2 separate regions of the Mus musculus genome follow, and region 2 is reported to be linked to region 1. Evidence: microRNA targets listed by miRTarBase, many of them from high-throughput screens and not tested one by one. Region 1 holds a microRNA gene; the other region holds the end of a gene's coding sequence.

Evidence for each region. Region 1 holds the annotated microRNA mmu-miR-486b-5p (UCCUGUACUGAGCUGCCCCGAG, at 1,987-2,008, shown strand). A microRNA usually pairs through its seed, bases 2 to 8, with sites in the 3' UTR of a target mRNA and lowers its output. Matches are read on the target gene's strand: a 7mer-m8 pairs with bases 2 to 8, a 7mer-A1 pairs with bases 2 to 7 and ends in A, and an 8mer does both.
Region 2: the mRNA of Aim2 is a reported target of mmu-miR-486b-5p. Seed matches in the 3' UTR shown: 7mer-m8 at 2,525-2,531.

What each region holds. Positions count from the first base shown.
Region 1 is chr8:23,140,601-23,143,600 of GRCm38, forward strand. It overlaps Mir486 (microRNA 486), which reads left to right and starts at 1,955; the gene lies at 1,955-2,082. Ank1 (ankyrin 1, erythroid) reads left to right here. Exons shown (of 44, transcript NM_001110783.3): 42 at 564-629; 43 at 996-1,120. The coding sequence ends at 1,094. Gm15816 (predicted gene 15816) reads right to left here. Exons shown (of 6, transcript NR_169137.1): 3 at 2,524-2,604; 4 at 225-665. It overlaps Mir3107 (microRNA 3107), which reads right to left and starts at 2,062; the gene lies at 1,973-2,062.
Region 2 is chr1:173,464,444-173,468,093 of GRCm38, reverse strand. It overlaps Aim2 (absent in melanoma 2), which reads right to left. Exons shown (of 9, transcript NM_001013779.2): 9 at 2,054-3,123. The coding sequence ends at 3,076. Among named protein-coding and RNA genes, the nearest start is that of Ifi206, 25 kb to the left of the region's middle.

The sequences.
Region 1 (3,000 bases):
CACATGATAAGCTTGTGCTGCTTGGCGGACATTGCCCCATGAGGCAATGGGAGAGAGCAGGACATGGCGCGTGCGCGCCTGTGCCACTCACTAGGACCACTGTTCACATAAGGAATGATGGCCCCTGTCTGTCCTTGCCCCTCCCTAAAGGCCTAAGCCATGGTTTATGTTCACCTCCCATTCTGGATAAATGGACACAGAGAAGGTGAGTAGAGCAGACGCACATGGATAGAAGGGTTGCCTGCCTCTGTCCTTAGGCACTGTAGAGGCACGATAGTCAGACCGAACTTCCATCCATTCCAAGGAACAGAGTGGGATGGCGGAGGGCTGAGGCAGCGCTGCGCGTGCCCAAGCCAATGTTTGCCGAAGCCCTGCCAGCCGTGCTCCCCAGTCCAAGCCCCACCGACATTCCCCATAGATGACAGCAGAGAAAGGCTTCTTCTTGGCTCCGGGGGACAGGAAGCCATGGCCTCTCCTCCTGGTGCCTCTGCTGGAGCCCTGTTCTTCTCAAATGTTGTCCTGACGACTTGACCATCTCTCCTTCTCTTCCCCTCTCTTTCCAGATCATTCGCAAAGTCGTCCGGCAGGTAGACTCGTCTGGTGCCATCGACACCCAGCAGCACGAGGAGGTGATTGTCGAGGGTCCCCTGGCAGACCCTGGGGATCTGGAAGCAGATATTGAGTCCTTTATGAAACTTACTAAGGTACCAAGGCACTGCAGGCCCCTGGAGGCCGCAGCAAGTTCACCTCCGCCTCACCTCTACTTTGCTCCAGGTTGCAATGCTGCCCCTGGCTACCTTTCTGGCGGACAGATGGTGTTCCCACCTCCTCCTTCTCCTCCTCCTCCTCCTCCTCCTCCTCCTCCTCCTCCTCCTCCTCCTCCTCCTCCTCCTCCTCCTCCTACTCCTCTCTGTCCTGACCCTTCTCACTTCCTGCCCGAGCTTGCTCATCTGCCTGTGTGATTTCCTACTTTCTGTCTCTGATGCTGTCTCCAGGTGGAGCTAAGAGGGAGTGGACTCCAGCCGGACCTGATAGAGGGCAGGAAGGGGGCTCAGATAGTGAAGCGGGCCAGCCTGAAAAGGGGCAAGCAGTGACCTCTCCTCAAGTAGCCCCTTGGGAGGTAACAGTGGCTTTCTCGTCCTTGCTGGCATGGTCCTTGATGAGGTAGCTGCTTGCTGCTCCCAACCCACCCCATCCTTGCACTACTAGCTCAGTTCAGAGTTAAAACCAGACTCTCAGAATCCCACTCCTCAAACTAGCCACTGTCTCTGCCCCTCCACGTCCTCTTCAGACCTGTGCCTCTCTGTTGACACCAGTCTGCTGGAGAGTACACAAAATCAGGGGCTTGGGTTTATTTTGCTTATTTATATTTTCTTTTGTCTTTTTTGGCTGTGTTAGGGGGGTGGGACCAGAGATAGGCATTCTGAGCCACACCTTCAGTCCCTGTGCAATTTAGTTATAAACAGAGTCTCTCTATATAGCCCTGGCTGTCCTGGAACTTGCTAAATAGACCAGGCTGGCCTTGAACCCACAGAGATCCAGCTGCCTCTGTACTGGAATTAAAGGCATGCAGCACCATGCCTGACTGTACCAGTATAATGTTAAAATAGTGCTTTGAAGTAGTGCTCAAAACACAGTCTGAGCCTATCTCACTACACATGGTCAGAAAGCACGCCAGACATAAACCTTAAGGCTCACTGGAGTCCTAACCTGCCATAGCTTTAATTCGATTACTGTTCTGAGAACAAGGCTGCTCGCTTGATGTCTGAGAAGGAACTAAGTTAGCAGACCCAAGGCATAGGTAGAATCTTCCCTGGAAGTGAGGAAGGTCTTCATGGCTAACGGCTGTACTAGTGTGTGAGGGGTGTGCGTCAGGGCGGGGGCCAAGGATGGGTGGGCCAGGCTACGCAACGAAGATCTTCAGCAGGCTGCAGTGCCCAAGAGCCAGCCTCAGCAGCCAGCTCTGATCTCGCCCTCCCTGAGGGGTCCTGTACTGAGCTGCCCCGAGGTCCTTCACTGTGCTCAGCTCGGGGCAGCTCAGTACAGGATGCGTCAGGGTGGGAGACAACGGGGAACAAGCCAGCATCACAGCCTCTGCCCATGCACAGCACTAACTGGGTTATTGCCCCTTCCCCCACCCACCCCCACCCCTGAACTCTCAGGGCCCAGCTCCAGAGCCGAGCAGCAGGCAGTCACTGGTTTTCTGCCTTCTGCAAAAAGCAGGGCCCGCGCAGCCTCCTGGGCCGGCAGAAGTGCTGACTTGATGCTTCCCAACATATCTCAGCACTTGGACAATATGAGGCTGGGCAGAGCCCGATAGGAGAGTAAAATTAGCCCTGACTCCTCAGCAGCTGTAAGGAGGTCACAGTGTTAACCCCAGCACTGCCAGGAGGGTCCTGCATGTCTGCTGATTTAAAGGCCAAGACTCGCTCTTGATCCCGGCTGGGAAACAACCCAAAGGTTCGAGTCATTTTTAAAGGAGGGAGGGAGGGAGAATGTCTTCTTCAGCCCTATCTTTCTTACAGTGGCAGCCGGACTTGCACTTGTGTTTGTTGGCTGAGACTTTATCCAGGGCCTCAATGGGAGGCAGCAACGGCAAGGCAGCTGAAGGACAGGGCAGAAGTAGAGTGTTTCATTAATTTACTGTACCCGGCATGCCCCTGCCCCAACACCCCCCCACACACACACACACTACACACATACACACACACACACACACAACACACTACATATACACACACTACACACACACAACACAACACACACACATACACATACTAAATACACAACACAACACACATACACACACACAGGCACAACACACTTACACACACACACACACACACACACCACACACACACTACATATACACACACTACACACACACAACACAACACACATACTAAATACATAACACAACACACATACACACACACATACACACACAGGCACAACACACTTACATACACACACACATACACTCTCTCACATACACACTAC
Region 2 (3,650 bases), not on the chromosome of region 1:
TCTTAGTCCATTCATTTATTCACAACCCATGATTCCTCAGGAATTCTCCAAATGCAAACCCTGGATTTCACTTTTATGTGTCTAGAGTTACTGGAAGGTATTCCAGGTAAACACTTATATGACACAGATATTGAAGGTAATTAGCTTGCAAAGATCTTTGTATCCGGGAAACTACAACTATACTGATCCTGGAAATTTTCACCATATTCTGCTTTTGATAAAGATATAAAAAGTATGATTGTTCTCAATGAAATTGACACACCTGTGACATTGGGCTGTGGTCCCTCCAACCTGGCCTGACTTAATTCCTTGCAACCATATCAGGTGACCTGGACCTGGAAAATAAGCACAGGCACTTACATGACTGTCTCCTAGAAGCTGTCTGCAGTTAGCTGTTAGCTGATGGTTGTTCAGCAGAGTCATAAAAAGAAAAAAAATTGTAGAGTGACTAGAGGATATTCTATTGATCTGTTCAGCTGACAACAGTTCTATTGATCTATTGTCTTTGGCAAACACTGAGTCATGTGTGTTTCTAAGTATGAAGGAGTTTCATCCTTAATTCTACACAATTCCACATGTTGGAAGATTTAGTATTCCATACCTAGAACCTATTCCTTCTTTTGCTCCAGAAGCAGAACAATTTTTCCTTCCCCTTGTTTCAAAGCTTCCTGTCTTAGTTAGGGTTTTACTGGTGTGAACAAACACCATGTCCAATGCAAGTCTTACAAGGACAACATTTAATTGGGGCTGGCTTACAGGTTCAGAGGTTCAGTCCATTATCATCAAGATGAGAGCTTGGCAGCATCCAGGCAGGCATGGTGCAGGAGGAGTTGAGAGTTATACATCTTCATCTGAAGGTTGCTAGCAGAATACTGGCTTCTAGGCATCTAGGATGAGGGTCTTAAAAATACCTACTCCAAGGAGGCCACACCTAATTCAAGAAGGCCACACCTTCTAATAGTGCCACTCCCTGGGCTGTGCATATACAAACCATAACAGGTCTCTTTGCCATGAAGAGTAAGAGTTGCTTCTCTTCCCCTAGAGTGTAAGAGTAACTTTTATTCACAAGAGGTAATAGTCATCTTGGAGACTTACTGCCTCTGTCTACTAACCTAGGTCTAGTCCTGGAAGCTTCTAGCTTCCAAACTCAAAATTCCTCTCCAGCCTGATTCAATATGGCTTCCCTTAGCTTCTTAATTTCTCTGATGGCTTCAAACTAACTTTGGCAATGTGTTCTAACCTTCTAGCTCTTTCTCATCCTCTGGCTCATTCTTTCTTCAATTGTGCCTAGCTTTTTCTTGTAAACAACACAATCTGGAGGTTCACTGTGTAATTAAATATCCTGCAACACTAGAGAAATTTTATCATATATGAGGACCTCAAGGGAGACCTTCATGCCTTTCCCTCAGCGGCTCATCTTTCCCAGGCATGTGCCCAGACTTTCTCATGCCCACCCAGGAAAGTACCTGAAAATGAGCATAAGCTCTCCTTATGGTGGAGGTTCTCAGAAGATCTCCATTCTCATGCCACTAAACTCAATCTTGGTTAATTTGCTAACATTTTAACTTAATTATAATTTGTGAGTTGTCTAGTATGCACTACCTGCCCCAGGTAGAAATATTTCCTTCTCCTCACTCTCTGAAGATGTTTGTCTTTCCTTAGGTTTTTCTCATGTGCTTGTACTACAACCTCAGCTCTCTGGGTGGAATCTAAAAAAAAATGTGATTTTTGCAATTACCTAACATTATTTATTGGAAGAACAGTCTATTCTGGGAAAAAGCACAGCAATTAATCATTCAATAGCAAATGGTCATCCCTGAAAATATACATACAAGCAACATTGTACAGATTGAGCAGGTTGTATTTATATATATATGTAGATATGCATATATGCTTATAGCAACAATTCATGAAAAAGAAGGCCATGTATTTGAAAGAAAGCAAGGAATGGTACATGGGAGGATTTAGGGGGAAGAAAGGAAAGAGGGAAATAGTATCATTGTATTATGATATCAAAAATGGAATAAGTAATAAAAATAGAACAGTCACAAACTTTTTTCTAACTTTCTGAATCATGAGTAAAATCATATTTATTTATTTATCAACAATCTTTCTTTTTAAAAACATAATTCTTTTATTGAGTGCTAGGGAATTTCACATCACATACCCCAATATCACTGATTTCTTAGTACTATCATACCCACCCTCCTCCACCTGTAACCTCCTCCCCAAAAGGAAATTTAAAATTTTTAAATTAAAAAATTATATATCACCAATCTTCTCTATCACCCACAGGCGTCTCTCCGACAAGGCCCTGCTGTCACATCTGCAATCCCGCCATACTTATACCCTCAGTGTCTATGTAGAGAAGAATGATATCTCAAACCTTAGACAAAGCAACAATTTTATTAGATATTTTCTTCATTTACATTTCAAATGCTATCCCGAAAGTCCCCTATAACACCCCCCACACACACTCCCCAACCCACCCACATCCACTCCTGCTGCCTGGCCCTGGCATTCCCCTGTACTGGGGCATATGATCTTTGCAAGACCAAGGGCCTCTCCTCCCATTGATGACCGGCCAGGCCATCTTCTGCTACATATGCAACTGGAGACACAGTTCTGGGGGGTACTGGTTAGTTCATGTTGTTGTTCCTCCTATAGCGTTGCAGACCACTTGCTGCTTGGGTACTTTCTCTAGCTCCTTTATTAGGGGCCCTGTGTTCCATCCAATAGATGACTGTGAGCATCTGCTTCTGTACTTGTCAGTCACTGGCAGAGCCTCACAAGAGAGAGCTATATCAGGATCCTGTCAGCAAAATCTTGCTGGCATATGCAATAGTGTCTGGGTTTGGTGGTTGTATATAGGATGGATCCCCAGGTTGGGCAGTCTTAATAACTTAATTAATAATAAGTTTACATATATTTTTCAGATGTTTTTTGAGTATTTGTCCTTTTCTAAGTAATACAATATGATGATGAGGTTGTAAAATGCTATCCTCAGGTAGTTCAGTCTAGTTCAAGGAGCAGCATCAGGATTCTTCAGGAAAAGGTTTTTCAAATGAGGTGACTTCACTCCACACTTTTCATGTCAGTTTTTGGCTTTGCAGCCTTAATAACCTGGGTAGGAAAGGAAGATGAAGACTGAAATATTGTTGATTAATTAATTCTCCTCTACTTTCACTTACTGTGTTCTCCTGAAAATTCCTTTCTTCTCATCAAATCTCCTCACCTAACACATATTTCCTCTTAATTCTGTCACTCTTGGACAACTCTCCTGAACTATATCTGCCCTGAACACACACACACTCCTACACAAGAAGGACAAATATGAAGACTTCTCAGGTCCCCATCTAATAACTCTATATATACAGTTGAGTGGTGAGGAAGAGAGGAAAGCAGAATCAGTGGGATCATCAGCACGGGGATGTGATAGCTGACTTAACTGCTTTGGACTATGACAGATGTGAAGATGATTGCCCTGGCTCAGATGTTTGTTGTCAGGGTGTTATAGTCTGACTTGACTTTTAACTGCATTTGCCAGAATGATGTGTGCAACTTTGAGAAAGCTGCCTTCATTAGATTTAGACTGTATTCAATAAATTCATTGTGGAAAGTTCTTTGAGAGGAGGAGGAGGAGGAGAAGG